Drosophila melanogaster: one gene and its partners. The protein of the gene in region 3 interacts with the protein of the main gene of each other region in a pairwise test. Each region holds a gene or a part of one and is shown on either strand. Other genes may lie near its edges.

What was found. The genes of interacting proteins can lie anywhere in the genome.
Region 1: the proteins of CheB42b (region 3) and Tsp96F interact in a two-hybrid assay, tested with the Drosophila melanogaster proteins (one large-scale study listed by BioGRID).
Region 2: the proteins of CheB42b (region 3) and mew interact in a two-hybrid assay, tested with the Drosophila melanogaster proteins (one large-scale study listed by BioGRID).

What each region holds. Positions count from the first base shown.
Region 1 is NT_033777.3:25,876,563-25,885,077, reverse strand, and holds the start of Tsp96F (tetraspanin 96F), read left to right. Parts: upstream 1-3,650; 5' UTR 3,651-3,996; coding exon 3,997-4,062; intron 4,063-8,351; coding exon 8,352-8,515.
Region 2 is NC_004354.4:13,252,319-13,261,017, forward strand, and holds the start of mew (multiple edematous wings), read right to left. Parts: upstream 4,866-8,699; 5' UTR 4,514-4,865; coding exon 4,299-4,513; intron 1-4,298. Other genes in the region: CG15742 (uncharacterized protein), read right to left, coding at 5,306-5,917; comt (comatose), read left to right, coding at 6,928-6,936, 7,018-7,106, 7,185-7,403, 7,477-8,699. UniProt on the Drosophila melanogaster protein: Integrin alpha-PS1/beta-PS is a receptor for laminin.
Region 3 is NT_033778.4:6,941,156-6,947,970, reverse strand, and holds CheB42b (chemosensory protein B 42b), read left to right. Parts: upstream 1-3,975; 5' UTR 3,976-3,984; coding exon 3,985-4,221; intron 4,222-4,287; coding exon 4,288-4,464; intron 4,465-4,624; coding exon 4,625-4,801; 3' UTR 4,802-4,875; downstream 4,876-6,815. Other genes in the region: CheB42c (chemosensory protein B 42c), read left to right, coding at 2,561-2,797, 2,854-3,030, 3,101-3,277.

The sequences.
Region 1 (8,515 bases), on a different chromosome or scaffold from region 3:
ATTCATTTTAAGCACCAGAAAGTACTTGATCTTAAGAAACTTGAGACATGCAGCAGGGCTATGTGCACATTTATTGTATCCACAAGATACATATCTTAAAATGAGAAATTTGTATACGCTTATAAATTGAACATCATTTAAACTAATGGATAGAAAACTAATAAATGTTTATATATGACATTCATAAACTGCAAATGTCATTCCTGCATTTTTAATTTGTTTATTATAGCTTTTTTTTTTTAAATATTAATGAATATATCACACTCCTGTAACTGACCCCCTATTTCAAGGCAATAAACTATGTAATGAAAATAAAACTCAGAAACTGCGGAAAACGCAATGTTGTTTTTGGAAGAATGTTTACCTTTACACTTTTAAAAATAGCGGTAAAAACGCGTCCAGACATATCATATAAACATACACATGTATGGACTCTGTCTATATATAGAAATTATATTTTATTTCCCCATTTCTTATTTAAAGCTACAAATGCACCTTTCCTTTCTAGACATTGAGTGAAGAAACAGAGAAAAATATTATACCACATCATTTTGAAAGTTAATTTTATTAAAATAATTATCAAAAACGTTCATCATAAATTTCCATATTTCACAAATAGATATCTCTAAAACAATAAGAAACGTTTTTTTTTAAATTGAACACGTTTTGTTTTCTGTGTAGGGAAATTATAATAACAACAACCGGTGTGAGAAAATAACAGATTGTCCGCATGGGATTTACAGGCAGCAATAACAACAATTAACAGACAAGAAGAAGGCCGTAAAAAGCAGTTAAAATTGGAATAAATTATAAAAGCGTTACCCAGTTTTCCACGATGCCAGTTTTCCATTGTTATTGCCACCAATTCTATAGTATTTTCACACACACAACGCACTCATACACCCACGCAGGGTTGTTGCACTTGGCAAATGGAAATGTAAAGGCGCTGTTATTAGAGCGGCGCTCTGCTAACTCGCTAATGACAATAGGGAGACAGAGCGGGATAGTTGCGAATGACAATAAGAGAGACAAAGCGGGACAGTTGGCAACTTCCTTGGTCGGTGTTGTTGTTGCTTCAATCATGTCGCTTTTGTTGCTATTGTTGCATGTTGCCAAGTGCCGTTGCTCGCACTAATTTATGTTGACTGTTGGCAAATGTAGGTGCATGTGTATTGGTGTCTCTTTTCATGTTTGTGTGCGGAATGTAAATGATTGAAATTCGTACATATGTACATATGTATGTAATAATGTATAAATGAAGCGATGGCCAAATTTATAGGGATTCTTTAAAGCTCCGAAATCAAGAAATATACAAAATGTCACGTATTTTTACAGGTTAATTAAAACTTGTTTGAGCCCAAATAACCCACATTTCTTCTCATTTTATATTTGAAAACAGGTTTAATCCATTTTAACTACGCTTTGCTTAGTGCTTTAAATAATCCTGATATAGAATTCAATATTCATGTCTTTCAAAAATTGAGTTTAAAAGTTTCTGTTAATTAATTAACAATTGTTACACAACTGTATCTGTGTCTGTACATTTCATTTTGCATTTGAATTAGTGTTGTTCATTTAATTTTTCTCGTCTCCCACAGTTTCTATCTCCCTCTTTCACCTCCTAGATGCAACAAATTAAGTTTCCCACACATTGCAATTTCAAGAGGGCGACAAAATGGAGAGGGGAGATGGAAAACTGTTAACGAGCGCTAATTAAAATGAAATTATGTGGCGGGTGTAAAGTTACAGTATCCAAAGTTGACACAATTTTCACAGTTTAAAGCGGTTATCGAAAATGAGCTACATAATTAGCCAAAATCATTGAGAAAACGCCGCTCGCATCACTCACGCATAAACTTACATATGCGCACACACACACGCAAACACTTTCTAATTTGAAACGCCCCAAAGTGGGGAACAAAAACAAAATAAAAGAAGTACCAAGCAATTGGCTTCGCTGTAACTGCCCACGACGAATGTGAAAGTGAAATTGGCGAAGATACAGCATTCGCAGTGGCCAAGGGGCGAGGGGTATACCTCTAACATAGAAGAGAGTGGACTTTAAACATAAATATTTACCGCTACCTTCTACACAGTAGTTTATTTCGTGAGAAAGAAACACAATATAAGGGTAGCTTTTAGAAAAGCTGTACTTTTTTCTATTAAAACTTTTCAAAATATTAAATGAAACCGTATATATTATTATTCACATTTTTATTAGGATTTCTAGCAAGCTACTACATATTACTAATCCAATCTTGCTTGTAAACGTTTGCTAATATAATTATATTTACGTTGAAAACAGTGAAATGCGCTACATTAGCACCGCCGACGGGGGAACCAATTAAGTTTTTAAGTGCACTGAACGCGGAAAGCATAAAAACAAGTGCGTAAAGTGGGCGCAACGTTTTTCGTTTATTATGCAAAAAGAGGGGGGGGGAGGTAGGGGCTTTACTTTGGCAAAGACTGGCTTGCAGCGCTTGAGAAATTTTCAGTACGACTAAAGCTTAGGCTGCGCTTTAAGGTTTTTTCCTCGTTTTTCCATTTCGTGTTTGGTTACACTCCACTTCGTTCCACTTCATTCCATTTCCATTCCACAAAACTCCAACTTCGCTCCACTGCGTAACAAAATTACAAGACACACTCACACAAACTTGCAACAAGCCGACAACAACAACAACAGCAATAAGGGAAGGGGGGAAATTGTCATGTTTCTGATTTCAATGCAATCGAAATATATATTGAAAAACGTATGTGGTGCACTCGATACTCCCCAAAAAAGTTGGGGGACTTTTCGCTTACTTTGCCTTCACATTCACATTCGCGTTTGGCTGTATTTTCCTTGGTTTTTGTTTTTCCCTTTGCACCGATGTTCGTTTTCGCGATAAAAAGGTGTCTGCTACATTTTCACGCGCCTTTCATTTGCCTGCGAGCCGCTTTTCATGCATATTTCCACGATCTTCGGCGGTCGCTGCACTTAAACGTTAGACAGCCATTTTGCATTTGTTTCTATTAGTAACTATTGCGGAGGAGAAACAACAACGAATTAAACATTTCACGCTTTAGGCCATTTTCGCCTGCGCGAACAGTGTGACCGTTTCGCAGAAGAATGAACAAAGCATGAACTATTAAGGTCACATTTCAAACTGTTTACATTTACAGATTTAAATATTTTGGGAAAATCATAGCCAAAGTAAATCAAAAACCTGGAATATCCTAATTTTCAATTACCCACTTTCATAGTAATAATTAAATAGACATGTTAAAATAATGTAAACAACCACAAATTTATACTTTAAAATGAAATCTACTTTAAATATGGTGATTATAGCTGAAACATTGGGGATAATAGTTAGTTAGAATATCTAAATTTTTAATTTTTAACTTTCATAATAACAATCAAAAGGTTATTTGAACATTATGTAAACACTGAAACTAAATTACTTTTAACATTCAAGTGAAGTTTTTATTTTATTGGGAAAATTGGCAATAGAACTTATCCAAAATATCGATAGGCCACTTTGGTTTGCGTATAGGCTGCAAATCCAAGCAGGTTGCAAGCCATGCTAAGCCTCATCAAAGTTATTCAACCACTTCTTTGGTATCTTCTAAGGGTCACCACTTTTCGGTTTTTAGCCTTTCTATACCCGCTGGTATATTTGAACGGCCGAGCTAATGGTCGCACTGATACAAGAATTTTACGTTGGACGGACGCCTCGATGCACAAATAAAATTTTTAAAACAAATCGGGTGCAACGGCCAATCGCGCAAACAGTGGCTCAAATCGGTGGATTTTAGCACGGGAAATTTTAAAAAAATTTGAAAAATATAGTACAATCGAGCGGGTGTTTTGAAAAAGTGCAAAAGGTCGAAAAGTGCAGGCGACACTGCAGTTCGGGGTTCCTTGGAAAAAGAGCATCTCCAAGTGGTTGAAAAACCAGTTAAATTGCAGCTACTTTTTAAGGAGTTACCTATTTAAGAATATCAATCCGCGCCATGGGTCTCAACGGCTGCTGTTCGTGCGTCAAATATCTGATGGTCCTTATAAACATTTTATTCTGGGTATGTAGATTCCAGCAGCAGCAGCAACAACAACAATGCGAGATTCGGTTCTCTCCCATCACAACAACAACTGGAACACACGGACCTCCTTTTCGCGCGCGTGTGTGTGGGTGTTGCGTGAGCGAATGTGTGTGTGTTGTGTATTCCCTACGCCCCTCTTTCTCACGCTTGGCGCGCGGGCGGAGGGAGGAGCCGTGCGCACGCTCTTTGGAGTCCTACCGCTCTTTCAGTCCCTCTTTCCACTCTCTCGATCCCAGAGGTGCCCAAAACATAAGTTGAAACTTATTTAAGTACGGCTTGAAATATTTAATCGAAAAGGAAGTAAAAAATATAAATAAATAAATAATAAAATAAATATAATAATATATTAACTTAAATATTTTTTTTTTAATGAGCGGGCTTAAAAACATTAAATGGACAAGATTATATAAATATTCAAGTACGCGGTTAATTAAAAACATTAATAGAAGGGTTTTTCTTTTTGAAATTAAACAAATCGGTTTTGTTTGTTATGAACTATTTGACTTTAAATTATTTTCTACCATTTATAACTTCAAAACTTCAACTGGCTTTTAAAAGCGACATCACTGTATCTCTCCATCTCCCGCTCGCACTCCCTACCGCTCTGCTCGTACTCCCGCATAAAAACAATAGAAGTTCCGTTGTGGGAGGGGACACACACACACACAGACAGATAAACATTTAAGCATCTCCATTCCCACCTCCCACTGTTTTCTTTTCCCTCCACATGTTTGTTCAGTTGTTTTTCTTTTGCTTCTGTCTCTTCCTGTCTCTCTTTTTTTGTTTTATTATTTTTATAACGTATACGTGCCGTTGATATTTTTACAAACTTCGGTTGGCTTAATTCGGTAAAAAAGGACCTCTCCTCACCCCAAAAAAAAGGGTTTTACTTTCTTTGGCCAACTTATCTGCTTGTTGTTTTACGCAATTTTCGACTTTCAACATAGCCTCGTTAGGCTTTCAATTGTTTCCATTCAATTACTATCTGCCACAGCGATTGTTTGCGTTTGTTTTGAGTTTCCTTGAGTTTTTCTTGGGGTTTCCTCTTGTCTTCCGCGGCTTGCGAAATCAGTTTCGCTTTTCCTTTGGGCAACAAATTTAAAATTTTGATTCTTATGCGGGCTGATTTCTAATTTTTTTTTCGTTCGTTTGTTGATTGTTGCTGCCTTTTTTCGATTTCTGTCTATAGTATTTATTAGTCAAAAGCTATTTTCGAATACGGGCGAGGAACAACACAAACTTACGCGTCCGTTCAGTTTTTCGTTGTTGTACACAGAAAGAAAATACTGATGCCTAGCCAAGTTTCGTGTTTGGAAACTTTCGAATACCTTTCAATTATTTTTCGTTTATTGTATATATGTCATGTAAAAAAAATTAAAATTAACCGATCCCAATAAGATTATATCCAATAATTGGTTTCTGTGTAATGTTCCTTGATCTGTGATGTTTTAGTATTCATCGTTGTTGTTGTTGGATGCACAGTGGTGTGTTTGATTTCAGTGGAGGAACAATGAGCGATAGAAATTGTGATGTGTTTGTGATGCAGTTCGTTTCACTAATCGTTTGAACTATTTTTAGAGCGATTTATGGATGAAAGTGCGTCAGATATTATTTTATATAAGACTTTTTATACATTGTTTTGAGGCTATTCTTAGCCAGGGCATGTTATCAATTACCCCACAAAGCCATAATAAATTTAATAATAGTATTTTTATATAACTTCGCAAAAAATGACCACTGTCCGATTAGTTTTGAATCTCGCTCTCCACTGTGCATCGATTTCCAAACATTTCCATTTTCATCGTCGCCGTGGGGCATCGTGATCAAACGCCACGATCTCTGAGGACGCTGACGCTCCAATGGGGCCGATATCCCACATCCAAGATGCTGGGGGAGGCCTATGCCATAAGCGTCTAAAATGCTAAACGGCCGGCGCTGTCGTCATTGAAGTTGACAGTGACCAAAACTGAAAGATTTCCAAATATTCGGTCGACCATCTGACAATCCTATCCTGTCCACCCACTAAAAAAACCATTTATTTCAGCACAGTCAGACTTCCATAGTGCAGAATTCTTAAATTCCTGAAAAAAATGTAATCTTTTGCTGTGAATAAAATAATATTTAAAAATATTTCTCCAAGTAACGAAGCTGGCCTGTATCTATTTTCAATTCGCTGTGACATGTCACATCTACATACTTAATTCGCTGTGCTATTTTTCACTCAATTATTCATGAGTGGCGCTTCATTCATTTTTCAGTTTGTATTTTCAGCTTATGGCTGATGCATGATGGCTGTTGGCTGCGATTTGCCATCGATGCGGTTAATTGTGGGACAAAACTGTGACTGGACATGCAATGCAAGCCCAGCTGCCTTTTGGCCCCATTTTATTTTTTTTTTTGCAATTTAGCAGCAGTAAAATGCTCTCTCGTTTTCCGCTTTCGACGCCTCGGCTCTGAAAACTGGGTCAACGAAGGACTCTGTACATTTATTGGCCCATTCGGCAGGATTTTTGTTTGTTTGTCCTGGACACGCGACATAGTGTCAGATGTGTAAAAATATATGTGTGTGAAAACGTTCGGGGAATCGTAAAAATTCCAACAAACAGAGCTACAAACAAGGCGTGGATTCAGTTCGTTCAGGGATAATGGGACTGATTCAAAACGAGGTCAACTTTTGTTCCCTAAAAGGATAAGGGAATTGAGGTTTATCCAAAGTAGTATATACATACACATACTTTATAAGAGCTCTAGGAATAAACCTCTTCTTCAGAAACATTTTTTTTTTTAATTCAACACATGAACAAATTCAAGATTATGTTACTGATCCATACCCGAAAACCTGACCTGGAAAAATAAGTAAAATCTATGCAAACAAGGGCTTCTGGTTACAATGTACTTACTCAATAAACTGCCCTCGAATGGGGCAACATTGTATTACGTTTCCATGAGTAGTTTTTCCGTTAGCTGCACACATGCACATTCATGAACTTTAGGGCCAGCATATCGTGCACTTTGTGGCACACTTTTTGTCTCGCTCACTTTATGGCAGCTCTCTCTTTCGTGGACCACCCACATAAAAGCCGGTCTCCGCTTCTCTTATATTTCATAAGATTTTCATGAAATTTACGAGACTTCCTCATGCTTTTTCATCCGTTTTTCCTGGGCGCCAAAAACTGTATCTTATATTTTGCTGTATCTTTAAGTTAAATAGATATTTGCTTATTGCGAGATCCACTGCGTAATCTTATCGGAAAGCACTGATGCTCTTGGCAATTACAAAAGCTTGCGGGCTGAGAAAAAATACGAGATAAGAAGTGTTTTGTATTTGGAAATGCTTCTCAGTTAGCCATCGGTTCTTAAGTGGTTCTAAATTTACATATTTCCCATGTAATATGTGCACTTGTTTACATCTCTTGATTAGCTCTCATCGCACACTCAATTTCCCTGCGATGAATAATTTTGCTGAATAATTAATGAACTTGCATAGACACCTCGACCAACCCATTAAGTCATTACCTCTATATTAGATTCTCTTACTCATTGCACGAGCGGAACAACATTTTTCTGGTGGATGGATTGGCAATAGCAAGTTTAGTGTTTAATATCTGGGTAGGAAAATTTAAGAAGAAATACATTACCGGAATTCTTTTAGCGGAAATCCAAAGAAAAGTTCATATTTCGTTTGCTGATAACCCGAGAAGTGAGATAACACGAGCTCGCAATTCTCATATTCTCGCTTGGGATCAATGTCTTGCCACTTCTATATGTATATACATACAGTATGTCTTGGCGATGAAGGCCAAAATTTAACTTTAAACCAAATTTTATCGCATCATTGATTTTCAAACTTAATGGGCCTTTTCTTATCGGGTTTTGAAAGTTCGGAGCTCAAAAAGCTGCCTTTGAATCTGTATACTGGATAGAATTACTGATTTTTTTTTTAACAAATTGAATGGAATGGGGAAAATTGTAATTTGTACTTGGTTTCTGTTTACTGCCTTTAATTAAATTAAAAGAAGCGCAACAGCAGTTGCTATGTATATAGTCTGCGTCCAACTAAGCTGACATCATATGTATGAAACTATAGAAGTTTAAAGCAAGGCGAAACTGGGCGGGGCAGTCTCCCACTTTAATTGCCGCCTTGCCGCCAGATGGCGTCATTGACGCGTGTGCCCAGCGTGAGATGGATGCAACAATTTGAGAATTACAGCGAAAATGTGTAAAAATAGGTAATGCTCTACTATATTTTGTATTCTTTTCGCTTGCAGCTCATCGGACTGACCATCGTGGTGACCTCCGTTTGGATGCTGACGGATCCCACATTTATGCTGTCGATGACACAGAACTACAATCATTATCACATAGCCCTGTATGTTTTCCTCGCCATCGGCATACTGATCACATTGGGCGCATTCTTTGGCTGTTGCGGAGT
Region 2 (8,699 bases), on a different chromosome or scaffold from region 3:
TGTCGGAGTTTCGAGCGGTGGCAGAGTGGAAGCGGTTGCCACATTTTCGGAGCTTATTGATTTATCGTTCGCTTAGGGACGCGATTCTTCGGAGGTCGCTAGCATCTTCAGTGCCCAGTTCTTCTAGTGGGCCGATTCTTCTCTTCACTTTAAAGAGCCCGAGGCGTGGGCTCTTTGATTTCTATGCGCAAAATCATCGTGAGCGTTTTTCTGATTTTTTTTTTTTTTCGTTTTTGCAACTTCGTGTTTAACCCACGCGGCCATGGGATTTTGTTTTTTATTTTTTTCCTCTTTGATTTTGATTCGGATTTGGGATTTCGAGTGGGGCCAGAAAGCGGCGGCTCTCCGCCCCAAATCTTCGCAGCTCTTCAGCGCGATTCTGCTGTGCGACTGCCATCCAATTGGCAATAAATCAAAGCCCACGCGCTTTTTTTTGCGCAGCTCCATGGAGTTGAGGCTGTGGCAACACTTTCGGAGCCTGGGGTCTCATTAGTTGCTGGCAGAAATTATGTTGCAAGTCTCTCGGAGTATCTGAATATCTGCGCCGTCTTGTATCTCGCCACTCGACAGCTGGCGGCTGCCCAGGCAAAATCGCAATCCCATTCGCAATCCCAGTTGCCAGATCGGTTTTCCGATGCGAATCCGAATAGGCCAGCCTCTTGTTTCCCACACCAAAATAGGCAATTTTTTATTTTGTTATTTTCTTATTTTCGTGTGCAGCATTAGGCTGTTCCTCTATTTTCTATAAATACGCATGCCAACTATGCCGCCTTCTGCTCCCCGGAAAATCAATTGAATTTTCACGCATGTTTATGGCCCGCTCAACGTTCCATTGAGCAGGCGGCTTCACTTCCACAGTGGGCACTCAGTATGACAAAAGTTTACAGATAGATAGATAAATATCTAAGCAATTTTCCTTAAGTGCTCTTAATGCTTCTTATATCACACATGCTGTATATTAAAACTAGGATCTTAAAACAATTTTGTCTTACTGTAAGTGTTCACTGTTGGCAAAAATGAACAAGTGAACTTTTCTCATGGATCTTGGCTGCCAGAAGTCGCACCCCCATCTCTTCCTTTTTTTTTTTTTTTTGCTTCGGCCGCCTTAGAAAAGTCGAAAAGTCCGCACTTAATGCCCAAAGATCCCTACAGAGAATCTATATGAACACCAGCGGTCATAAAAATAGTAAGCAGCTGATCGAAATTAAAGTAAAATCATTCATTTTTTCAAATACATTTCTAGCTTACATTTGTAGTTTAAATTATTTTAAAAATAATATTTCAAATAACTTTCTTGGCATGTAATACATTATTTGTAGTTTACATATATTAAATAATATTTAACTAAATTCCATGCATTTTTGTGACCTTCACTGTGGGTGCCAGTGCGCATATTTATGGCATACACACATGTCTGCCAGCTTACATTGCCTTAGCAAGTGTTTTTTGGCCATTTCCTTGTCGCTTTTCGTTTTCGCGTTTTTGGCTTCATTTGCTTACGAGTGGAAAAAATAGGAAAATGGTGGAAAAGGGGGTGCTGGGTGCGCGGGTAGATGAGAAATGGACTTTTGGGTTGGGTTCCCATATTTTTCTTATTATTTTATTTATTTTTTTTTTGTGTTGCTGGGCCTGGGTTAACTATTCAACTATTTGGCGGGAGACACACGCACCAGCAGCGAGTAAAAGAGCAACAACAATAACCATAAACTGTCGACCAGCCCCCAGTGGATAGCCCACCCCATTGAGCACCCAACCACCCAACCAACCAACCACCACCATTCCCCCCAACCTTTCCTTTCTTGCGACTGTTTGGCGTCTGTTGACCTCATTTCGCCGAAAAGTTTTTTAAGTTCTTTCTTAGTTTTTGTTCTCTTCTATATTTTTTGGCGCAAACAAGGAACACATGTTGTCGGCATAAACACAACCAGTGAGCTGTTCGCGATGCAGAAGAAGTATCCCACATGAGATACAACATCTACGAGATACACCGAATCTCAGAGATTTATTTACATGCAAGCGAGTTAAAATCGTGCTAGCATTTTCATACCATTTTCAATCTGCAATATATTGAGTATTCAGCGCAATGAAATTGTAGTTCATTAACAAAGCCAATCATTATTTAATGCCGATTGATTGAAGGTGCTAATTAAAAAAAGTCGCCTACATATATACACATTTTTTATGGCGCTGTAAATGCCACGGCAAGGGTACGAAAACAATTGTATAGCTTAATCGACCATCCTCAGCGGCTTATCTCAATTTGTACCATATCATCAAAGGTAATAATTGCGCCACGTAACCGCTGGTATATATGGCTGGTACAAAAAAAAAATTAAGATGGGCCAGCGATAAGCGAGTCACATTATTTGCATACGTACCTTTTTTTTCATTAATAAAACAAATATGCGACAATCGCAAAGTGCAAACAAAACTGAAAAACAAAAGGCGCGCAATAAACGAGCTGGAAATTCAAGTTAACTGTGCAATTCACTGCAGTTATCGGACTAGCCTTCGATGCGAAAAAAAACAGCAATTTCCGTTTGGATTACAGCTTCTTCCGATTTCAAGTGCGTCATTTAAAGACGCGATGCAGATTTAAGAAACAGCGTGGGTCACCACTTCTTGCCAAACGGGGTCACCACCATATAATATCACCATTACATTGAAGTTAAAGCTCAAAGTTTATCATGCATCTCATTTGCAAATTTATTTTTATTATTTTTTTTTTTTTGAAGGTCTATTGATTTTCAGTTGGACTTTCAATACGTGACATTTCGTTACTTAACCCAAATGACTCAGGCTGGTACACTTAGACTCGTCGGCCGATAAATGATATATATAAACATATATATGATAAGTATAATAATAATATCCCTTTCCCTTATTCGGGTGACCGAAGGAGAGGGCACTACTTGGCAAGAGAGAGAGAAGGGGAACATGACTTTTTCACGCCTACGTAGGCATTACGCACCGAGTGATAGCGATGGGGCATGCCGCGAATGGCACAATTTCTTTTTTTTTACCACAATACATGGTTAAGAAACCACACCATGTGGCGGGAATAACTCGATTGCCAGTTCAGTTGTATTAAATGTATTAAAATGTTAGCAACTCAGTTTTTTTCGCTGCAAATTGGCGCATCCAAGTCGCAGCTTGTATTGATTCCAGATTTGTTGTCTGCCCATTTTTATGGCCACTGGCCGTCTGGCTCCGTTTTGTCTACCGAGTTTGGTTTGGCCAATGTATCTATCTATCTATCTATCTATGTATTGCTTGTATTGTATATAGAGAATGCGAAAAGGAGTTGGCCAACTTATAAAGTCGCCAATACGAGACATTTAATGAGCACCAAGCCCTCGCCAAAAAGAATCTATGACAAATGCAAATAAATCCACATCCGCTTCAGTCGCAATAGTTCAAGGGTTTAACCCATGTCGGGGGAAACATTAAAACAATTCGTCTGTTCTTCGACCAACTATGCTTATCAGTTGCACAAAAATAAACAATCAAAACCATAAAATATCAAACAGGCAAATTCTCAGATAGTAAGGATGACAAATCGTTTAAACTGTTGAAATTCTTCAAATAGCAATTCGAAAAAAAAAAAAGAGAAACAAACAAATATAATATTTAACACTTATCTGCTGTCATTGCATTTGGCATATGCATTCAGTTTATTATGGTTTGTTTCGATTCGAAAAACATCTAAAACCTGGCATCATCTCTGGAAATACTCGATATTCAAACAATTTATGGTAATTCAACAATAAAAACACGATTTCAAACAAGTTTCGCGCATTAGCAAACTTTGATAGCCCCCCCCCCCCCCCTGAACAACAGCAACAAACACAGCGATTGCAATGCAAATTCTTCTTATTATTATTATTATTTTATTATTTGTTGTTGTTGTTGTTATTGTTCGTGTGCTGCTGATTAATAACAATCAATGCCAGTCAATTAAGCTGAAATCGATTTGGCGAATATAAAAACCTGTTTGCGCACCAACAAGATTCTTGGCGCGAATTTCCGATTCGGACACGAATTTGGATTTGGATTCTTCTCTACCTGTTCTTCAGCATTATTGTTTACCTAACATTTTTCTAAAGAAAAAAAACACAGCTGAGACAACAAGACACTTTTCGAATAAATCTTTTGGATGCAAGTTTAAAATTGATTGTTGAAAAATAAAAATATGCCTAAGCGTTTAAATGAACTGCAGATAATGATTCACTTTGGAAGTTCGCATACTTTGGACGCATCTTTCAGATACTTATCTATCCACTTAACTATCCACTTACCAGTTGGTCTTGTTGGGCCCATTGGCCTCGCCAATAGTGTGGGTGGCCACCGAGTAGCCGAAATGCGAATGCGGATGTCCGTACTTCACAATGGGCAATCGCTGTTCTAGGTTGAAATTGTAGCAAGTGAGAACGCATTGCAGGATTATCAGAATACCAAGATTCTGTCTTAGCCGGCAGTTGGGCCGTATGGTGGTAAACGGTAGCTCCAACATCGTTAATTTTATGTTTTTTTTTTTTAATATATATTTTATAAATATTTCGTGCACGTGCACCGAACACGGCAAAGTGATTACTTTTTCCTTTGCACTATTGCAAACAAAACAATGAACCGAAAAAAAACACGCACGCACACACACACACACACACTAAATCCGTTGAGATCTTTGGATCAACAGGTAGTCCACGTATTTTTCACTTTTGCTCGTATATTTCTTCGTTTCAGTCACACAGCAAAAAAAAAAATGATTATTACGTAAAGAATTAGACATTGATAGCGTGCGTTCGAAGCGGCAGATATTTTCTCTTCGCTTCGCCTTCTTCGACGGGCAAACGAAAAATAAAATGCTTCGCACAGAAGAGCTACACTAAGCTACTGAGCTACCATCGAACATGGTTCGAACATGGTTCGAACATACATGTGCGCTGTGCAAGCAGTGGTCAAACATATAGCAAGCAGACGCACAAGCAGTTCCACTACACTAGAGGGCTGGATAACATCATTCTCTTTGTTTGCAATTCGGGCAGCGCGGAGGTAAGTCAAAGTTTGTGTTTTGTTGTTGATATGTTATTTATTAATCTCGACATGCGTTGCACTCGATTAATTTAAAGTTAATATAGAAGTCATACGACATCAGAATCACTATGACAGTAGAACGTCTCAGTCCAGGTAGATGCTATCCAAAGAAATGTATATATATCCAAAAGCAAGGTAAAATATCACAGCAGCATCTTTAGTGACCATATTGATATACAAACAAATTCGACCAAATTCTAATTTGCTGACCTTAGCCGAAACGCCAAGTGCGCATATGGTTGATAACTTGATAACTTTTCGAAATGCGCATGCGGGCATCTATTGCAGGAGGATATGGGAGTGAAATGTCCCGAGCTAAACGGCGCTCCAACTGCTCATTGCGGCCGTTGAGCAAATTCTGCCATATCTGGGCCCGCTTATCCAACTGTTGAGCCTGCACGGCTATCCGTCCATAGGAAACGGGCTCATACGCCAGCTTCAGTTGATCGAGCAGATTGGTGAGCTCTTCAATGGCCTGCTGCAGTTTTCTCATGGCACTGTCATGCATGATGAACGTCTCATCGGCTTTGCTGCCGTATTGACATATATATTTCATCCTGACCCAATTGGACGACGCGATACAATTCTTGCGGCGCAATATTTGCATCTTTAGCATGTCCATAAGTATTTCGGCCAGATCGATGGGTGGCAACTCGGCGGGTATCACCAAGCGGATGGCAAAATAATTGGGCCTACTGTACTTGTCCAGGAAGGTGCTAATCACGCCGTCTTGGGCATTACGCACCGAGCGATAGGGCGGCTTAATGCCGCGAACTGCGCCCAGCAAGCAGTGGTCGATCTTATTGCATCGAACTTTTGACATCGAACCGCGGTTTGTCGTGTAAAAAGCGTGTTAGAAATGTGTTTTATTATACAAGTAAGCTGCAATGGCCGTGTTTGTTATCTAGAAACTTTCTCGGAATGGTAACATACGTGTGTACAGAAAGTTAGCGATTGGCATCGTCACTCACCGTCGTAGTACTGGTAAATTGATTTTGCTTCGTCGAACAGCCCGGCAGAAAAATTTTAAAAAATTATAAAATTTTGCTGTGTAAAAGTAAGAACGAGAACAAAATTTTGTTGTGCTCCCAAAAAAGTAAAAGTACTTAATTATCCGAATCAGGTAGCTACACTTAACTCAATGACTACTGGACGCTTAAATACGTAAACTTTCGTCTCTAAATTTCCTCGCACACTAGATTTGAATTTTCGTTCAGTCGGATATTATCGATAAATCGATTATTGTGGACCACGAATTTTCTGGTATAAATGCGGTAGCAATTTAAGACTTCTCTTACCGGAAAATCTTAAAAAATTAAATGATTACATTTTTTGTTAGTAAAAGCCCGGCGAGAATTTATTAATATTTATACATATACAACTTTTATATTAAAGAGCTCTCGAGCACTCTACCAATTTAAAAAATCAACCGCTTGCTTTATAAATTTAATTATTATTATTAAAAAAAAAAATCATGCAAATACGAGTCGTTAGTTATTAAACTTGGCAAAAGAAACGTATATTTAAAAACCAAATCCCATATGGATGTACTAACAAGTTCGCCAGCCCTGGATTCCTAGGCGCATGTGCTGAATAAAATTTTAGATCACATCTTCCTTGAAAGTTCAGAAAGGATATAGTTCACAATTCGTTCAAAAATTAATATATATATATATAGTTATGCTGTTTCAGTGATACTGTAAACAAATATCAAACGTTAATTCGCACACAAAGCTGCGTTTTCTGACCATTAAAGTACTTCCATTGGATTATAATTATTGATTTTTGTCAAATTCTAAACAACCCCGTGAAAATCAGCAAGAATCTAAAGAAATGGCTTATGTGAGTTTGAAATACCAATATTTATAGGCACTACGGCACTATTTTTGACTAGTTACTAAAGATTTATAATGGTTTCCGTAGATTTTGAAGGCCACCAAATGTCCCACGGACGAGCTTTCGCTGACCAATCGGGCTATAGTGAATGTTGGTGATTTTCCGGAGGAAATCAAGTATGTGGTCCTAACGGGCATAAAAGTCCATTGTTTGTATATATATATATATATAATTCCCACTTGCATCGCTTGCAGATATGCGGACATATCGCCGGCTCCGGGTCAGCACTTCATCTTTGCGCTGGAGAAAACGGTGGAGGTGCCCAGCGGCTATGTTGGCTTCTCCCTGGTCCAACGAAAGTGGGCCATGGTGTCCATTAATCAGGAACTGGAGGTTCGTCCCTATCGCTTTGATGCCAGCTCGGATGTCATCACTTGTGTGTCCTTTGAGACGGACTTTCTGCAGAAGAAGACGTGAGTGCATATATATAGTATACGGCGTCAAGGATATTATGTAATATCGATTGTTATCTACCATCCTATGCAGTGTCTCCCAGGAACCCTATGACTCCGATCAAATGGCCAAGGAGTTCATCATGCAATTCGCCGGAATGGCACTCACCGTTGGCCAATCACTGGTCTTCAATTTCAAGGACAAGAAACTTCTCGGCCTGGCCGTCAAATCCCTAGAGGCCATCGATCCCAAGAGCTTGGGCGAGGGCAAGGACACCGCGATGCGTAATGTCCGCTTCGGCCGCATCCTTGGCAACACCGTGGTGCAGTTCGAGAAGGCCGAGAACAGTTCGCTGAATCTGCAGGGCAAGAGCAAGGGCAAGGTGGTCCGCCAGTCCATTATAAACCCGGATTGGGACTTTGGCAAAATGGGCATCGGTGGCCTGGACAAGGAATTCAATTCGATATTTCGACGAGCCTTCGCATCCCGTGTCTTCCCACCGGAACTGGTCGAGCAGCTGGGCTGCAAGCATGTCAAGGGCATTCTACTTTATGGTCCACCGGGTACGGGCAAAACTCTGATGGCTCGCCAAATCGGAACTATGTTAAACGCCCGGGAGCCGAAAATCGTCAACGGTCCACAGATCCTGGACAAGTACGTGGGCGAATCGGAGGCCAATGTCCGGCGTCTGTTTGCCGAGGCGGAGGAGGAGGAGAAACGCCTGGGTCCCAACAGTGGACTACATATCATCATCTTCGACGAGATCGATGCCATTTGCAAGCAGCGTGGCTCCGTGGCCGGAAATAGTGGTGTCCACGACACCGTCGTCAATCAGTTGCTAACCAAAATCGATGGCGTTGATCAGCTGAACAACATTCTCGTTATCGGCATGACCAATCGCAGGGACATGATCGATGAGGCTTTGCTGCGACCGGGTCGCCTCGAGGTCCAAATGGAGATCAGCCTGCCCAACGAGCAGGGTCGCGTCCAGATTCTCAATATCCACACCAAGCGGATGCGTGAATTCAACAAGATTAACGACGATGTGGACAACAAGGAGATCGCTGCGCTGACCAAGAATTTCAGCGGTGCCGAGCTGGAGGGTTTGGTCCGTGCCGCCCAGTCGAGTGCCATGAACCGACTGATCAAGGCCGATGCCAAGGTGACCGTTGATCCTGAGGCCATGGAAAAGTTAAAGGTCAATCGAGATGATTTCCTGCACTCGCTGGAGCATGACATTAAGCCGGCATTCGGTACGGCCCAGGAGATTCTCGACAATATGCTGGCCCGCGGTGTTATCAACTGGGGAGCACCGG
Region 3 (6,815 bases):
ACTTGACTAGATGGGCGAGGGACTAGTCAATACGCTTTCGTCTTGTTTTTAGCACCACAGGGTTTTTATACCACCATTATTCTTTAAGCTTATAGTATAAGTTTAAATTTAAAACTATTACGATTTCGATGATTTTGACAGTCAGATGTCAAGAACACATGCCCGGCTAGCTCAGTCGGTAGAGCATGAGACTCTTAATCTCAGGGTCGTGGGTTCGAGCCCCACGTTGGGCGATGTTTTTTATTTTAATTCAAAATTAATATACAATTAATAAACATTTTTTGAGCTCCACTTTCGGCAATTGATTTTTTACTAATTGGAAAATTATTAAGCATATTTAATTTGCCTAAAATGAGTCCCAATTAATTTGGAAGCTAAAAATAGTTTGTGTATATATGATACAAATGCATCTTGTGAATCTGCATAACCATTTCGAATAAAACAAAAGGCTAAAGGTATTACAACAATGTTTCTAGGTTTGACAGCAAAGCGCCCGTTGCCTTTAATCCGGCTTATATGCGCATGTATAAATATGCTTTCTCATATTTAGCAATGTGTTTATAGAAGTAATTTATAATTTTTATACCCGTATACCAAAGACACTAGAATAACTAGAATTTACTATAATAACACTAGAATTCTAGGGTCTTTGCTTATACTATATTCGTTAAAAAGTATGTACCAGGCAGAAGGAAGCGTTTGCGACCATTTTCTTATGTTTTTCTCATATTATTCCCCAATATCAATCGATAAGCCAGAAAAAATAAGGAAATTTCTAGTTGACATTGCCACTAGCTGAGTAACGGGTATCTGATAGTCGGGAAACTAGACTAAAACATTTTCTCTTGTTTTGTTATGAGTTGAATATTTACGATAAATATTCTATATTGTCAATGTAATTTATGTAAAGTAAATTTGGGCCTAAACTTATTTGTTGCAAGCTAATTGGCGACAATTCTTTGGCTACTTTTAAAAGGCTATTGATTCTCTCTTGGTAATATTTTGATCCTTTAAATTCTCTTTATATCAATTTGTATGATTCTTAAGCTTAATCAGCAAATGTGAGCTTTTATCGGCGATCTTCACAAGTGCCCGGCTAGCTCAGTCGGTAGAGCATGAGACTCTTAATCTCAGGGTCGTGGGTTCGAGCCCCACGTTGGGCGAATTTTCTTTTTTATATTTAGAAAATAGTTTTATTAAAAATGTTCACTAATTGCTTTCATTGAACTTTTCGATTCTGTGCGTTTGGCTTACGCCTGGGGTTGCGTGGGCTATAAGACGAAAGTCAATTTCTATGTTTTGTTTATTTATAGACGAGTTACTATATAGTGAAATACCATCGACAAGACCTAATAAGTTTTTATTTATGGCAGCACTCGCAGCTGTTTCCATTTCTATAACAATGCCCCGTGAGCTTCCCCCTGTCCCTCTAGCGTTGGCGCGTTTGAAAAGTCTGAAAGCCATTTCAAGGCTGAATCTCAACTGGAAGTGGCAGTTCACTGTGGCACCGAACAGGATGTGGACAGGATGCCATCATTCAGTTCATATGTGGAGCAAGGTCCTTAAGCTTTGAAAACAATTGTGTTAATGTGTACAATTGTTATGTCTAGCTGCTATGTTCGGAAAAAATGGATAAAATATACAAATCATTTTTTGTTTAGATCTTGACGCAGGTCACCATTGCAACCCGTTCCATATGCCTGCTTCCTCCCACATGGAGACAGTGAAATCTGAGATCAGACAAGAATGCGGAATGCATTTCCCCTTCAGACTCCACAAACAATTGGAGAGCATGAGAATCATCTTAGTTGTATTAATTACTTTGCATTATTCCATAAATAACTTTGCGGGAACAATTCTAGATGCTGTTCCCTCTGTTAATGTGGAACGACTGATGTGCATAGCTTACTTGGTGTTTTGAACTGTGCCGAGTGCTCTGCATGTATGATGTCAGCTTCAACAGCAATCCAAGGCTAGTTAATTAAAATGAATATGAAATTGCACTTGTGATTCACAAGCTGTGATTAAATTGCGGAAAGTGTCCATTTGACTTGTTGTAGGTGTGTAGTTGTCGCACCCAATTATGCAAAATAGTTACGGAATTTATGAAATCGTTTAATTTTCGATGAAAAAAGTAAAAATTTAATTTAATCAAGGAGCCTACAAAGATTTTAGCATTGAATTCAAGAAGAACAAAAGGTTATACTTTTACAAGTATAACAATCTAAATGCCTATTTGGCATACAAGTTGTTATGCTAATGGCTAAAACCTTTAGTATTTAGCTTATATATCTTAATAAATATAAGATTAACAGGAATGATTGTTTTGATCGTTTAATAAGGACTATTTTCATTGGCACTGATTTCCTCGAAACTTGTTATGGTTGAAGTGAGCTTCTTGCTTTAAATGTCGATTTAAAATAATGTCTGGCAAACAAAATGGTTGTAACTTTGTTGCATGTCGAGTGGATACATGATGACATGATAGCAATGATAGAAGAGATCATGATGGCAAGTACTATAAAAGGGTCTCATCCCACCAGGTGATACTATTGTCATCATGAGAACTCTCATGCTGTTCGTATTTGGCTTTGCTAGTTCCTGGGCCGCAGACTACGAGCTGTTGCTGGAGGACCCTGATATCTTTTCACCCTGCACTGAACCGCCGCCGGGATCGATTGGATTCCACGATGCCTTCGATATTGGCGATCTGGTAGTCGACCAGGACATGGACATCATTCACCTGTCCGAGAGTGTCACCTCAATCTGGGATGTGGAGCCCACAGATCGCATATCCGTAATGCCCGCATTCCTTATACGAAATAAGATTATTAATAAACAATTGCTTTTAAGGCCAGGTTTGCAATAATGCATTACAACCGCGGCAGCTGGGAACCGACTGTATTTAGCATGGCCACGCCGGACTTCTGCGCCTCAATGTTTGATGAGAATCAGTCGTGGTTTAAGTACTGGACCAAACACATTTCGAACCGCGATGAGGTGATGGAGAAGTGTTTTAAAACGCGTGGTGTGAGTTTTCCCTGCAAACAAAACAGTCCATCTCTGGCGCGGTGACTTTAACCTTGGGATTCCATTACAGACCGTTATAATGCACAATCCATTCGATCTGCAGCTGCGTCTAACGGACATTCGTGGTGCAACTCTCAGGGGTCGTTACAAAGCTGTGGTCACCTTTGAGGCGGTCGATGAGAAGGATGTGCCACGCCGTAATTCCATTTGCTTCGAAATCAGGGGAGAGGCCGAGAAGATAAATTAATTAAGGGCTTAATCTGTTCAAGGCGCGATATCAGTAACCTAAAAAACAATATAAACCCAATATCTACATATTTTGAAAATAAAAAGCAATCTTAAAAATATAAATATAAATAAAATATATCAACTATTCTGAACTTGATATATGTACTTGATTTGGTACAAAGTGTGTAACAGGTGACGCGAACCTTTTTTTTCGTTTGATCAACCTTATGCCCGTATGTGATCTCGGGAGCTATAAAAGCTATATTGATAAGATAAGGGATGCAGATTATAGAGAAGTACTTTCAGAAGATTGCCACGCCTACTCTACCACACCCTCTAACGACCAAAAACCGCCCAAAACTGTCACGCCCACACGGATATGTGATCGCCAAGAAAATCTTTGGGGAATTTGTTTTTTGTTTCAAACTTGTTTTTTTTTCTAGCCCAAAAGTTATTATTATTAAAACATCTTGTTTTACAATGTTTAAGCACGAATATTTTCAAGGGTCACATAACGTGATTTGCCAATTATATTGTTAGAGTTTGACAACGTCTGATTAACAGGAGATGGTTGTTACATTGTTGCGTGTTGAATCAATGTACGATGGCATACCATGATTAGATGTCATCATTTTAAAAGGTGTATAAATAAAACATATCAAAAACTCTATTGTGGCAGTGGCTATAAAGGGGTCGGATCTCACAGTTTTCGGTTCTATGGTCATCATGATATTTGTGCTGCTACTCTTATTAGGAGTGACCAGTTCCTGGGCCACAGACTATGAATTATTGCTCGAGGATCCGGACATATTTTCGACGTGCACTGATGGTCCTCCCGGATCCATCAACATCCGCCAGGCACTCAACTTAGACGACATTGTAATCGACCAGAAAGGGGATATACTTCATGTATCCGGGAACGCCACCGTCGTGTGGGATGTGCAGCCCACCGATCGGATTACTGTAACACAAACTGCAAGCTTCGGAATAATCATCGATTCTAATATCAAAACTCTTGCATCCGTGTAGGCGAGACTTGATGTTTTTCACTTCAACCGCGGCACTTGGGAGCCCACTGTCTTTAGCATGGCCACCCAGAACTTTTGCTCCATCATGTACGACAAGAACCAGTATTGGTATAAGTATTGGACAAGGTTTATAACCAATCGCCATGAGGTGGAAAAGAAGTGCTTCAGAGGGCCTGATGTAAGTGGAGTTCAAGCAATTTGACAACCAAATACGGTGGAATATAATAGCATATGGGAATAGTTCTCATATGGGATGCAGATTATTCATATGGTTGTGTGCAAAGGACACTACCATTTTTTATTGCACAATATTTTGAAAATATTCTGATTTCTTACAGACCGTTCTGGTACACGAGCCCTTCGATCTCATACTAAAATTTGAGAATTTTCGTGGACCTCTTCTTAGAGGACGTCATAAACTTGTCATATTGTTTAACGCACTAGATGAGAGGAATATACCGCGCCCAAACCCAATTTGTTTGGAGATCATAGGAGAACCACTAAAGTTGCAGTAGTTGGAACAATAGACTATTTTGTTGAATGTGTATTTTTTTTTTCAATATTGTATAATATTAAACATAGTGTTCTTAATTCCTACATTCAATAACAATTTAAACATTGCATCGTGTTTTAACAGATCTCATAACTTTAGGGGCTTGTTTTACCTTCCATATCCCCAATCAGTTAACTTCTTGATTCGTTTTGTTTTGTGGTTGGTGGCACGCGTTGACGGCAACTTGAGTTCAAGTTGCGGTTTCCATATCGGCTAGCTGCGTGTGGCAAGTACCTTCTCGGGTAACGACGTGCAGACAAAGGAGAACCGTATACTGACTGCATTTTTTTGGGGTCATGACTGCCGTTGCTGGATGGGGAATATGCAAATACAATTGTCGGTTATTGGATTACCCGATGATGATTGGCATAAGTTCCGATCGATTCAAATCGCAGCAATCGATTTGTCAATTTGCAAAGCTCTTGCCAATTCACGGAAAATGTTTCTTACAGATTTGCGAAAACTTTTAAACGGCAGGGAGGTAAGCCTCGGAACACTTTCATTTCATATTCCCGGCGAATAATTTTCTACTTTCTAAACCGAAGAGCCAGAAACAAAGACCGTCTTTAGGTGCAAATTAGCAGCGCACGATTGTGCAGGCCGCTCCGGGCAATCCGGTAAAGTCAACATCTGGCCAAAGCCGAAATTATGGCCGCGGGCACTCACTATACTATATAGTATATGGTACGTCGGACCTCATAGAAAATCAATCAGTGCGGACTTCTGCTTCGCAGGCAGGCTCTTGGATTTAGCATAAGAAACGGCTCTTTCTGGAGGCAGTGGCTTTGTTCGCCAACCCAAAAAGCTGGCAATGTAGGACGTGGCGACGGCATGGCTCTGAACCCGTTTTTTTTGGCCATCTCCGCCTCTATCCACCTAGCCGCTGCTGGGAATCTTTGGGGCCTTATCGAGGAGCAGCACCGAAATAGCAACAAAATTGCAGCATGAATGGGGCTGTGAACCAGCTGGAGAGCCGGTCCGTGTGGGCAGCCTTTGTAGGCTATTGGAAAGATCAAGAGTTTATAATGCCAGCCACACGTTTGTTGTTAGCTGTGTGTTGTGTGCATGGGTGTGGGTCTCCTCGTGGTGGTTGTGTGAACTTTTCCAGTTTGCTCTGACTGGCATAAATTGTGGGTTTTTAGGTGTCTAGCTCACTTCCCGGCCGAGTTGGCTTGCCAAGATAAATGGATACACATGGAGCGGTTGTGGTGTACTATATGTGCATGGATGCACCACGTCCATTGCACTCGCTGTCTTCCCCTGCGCTTAGACTCGATTTCGATGTCTGACGGAAACTGGAAAGTGTTTTGAATACAACCACGAACTGGCGGGAACGAGATCTTTCAGCTCGATGACTGGTTACTAAACAGTAAACAGTAAATACTCTAGAAATATGAGGACAATGAATAAAAAGTAAATGCATTCAAACCACCGCTAAGACAAACATTTAACAATTTCAGTAGCTAACTAAATGGATCTTGAAATTAAGTTGAAAAGGGGTTTTGTTAGCTGCGGCACTTTTACTATGCGTCTGGCTGCTAGGCAATCCAGCTCCACTCGCCCATTCATAAGGCGATGCCCGAACACTGGGATCAGGACCAGCTGAGCTCTCTCCCAACGCTAGCACGAAACACAACATCCACGCCAACGCGGACGCGAATGGTTTGGGCCTGGTCAACGTAATGACAGCTTCGCGTGTTTTGGCCCGCGAGTGGATGGCTGGCTTATTGGTGGTGGCTATATCGCTCCACGACTACAAAATGCTCATTCACAAAACGCCGACAAGACGCTGCCCACGCATGCGAGGCAAGAACCGCTTATCAAGCTGTCGCTGGCGGTCGGCTGTCGCACACAAAAAATGGTTTTGCAACAAATAAACAATAATAATTTGCATGTGGGCCGCGTCTTGGAAACGTGGTTCAATCATTGAAAAAATCAGCTTATAGGCTTTGAAAAATTTTGGTCGCTTTTGGTCT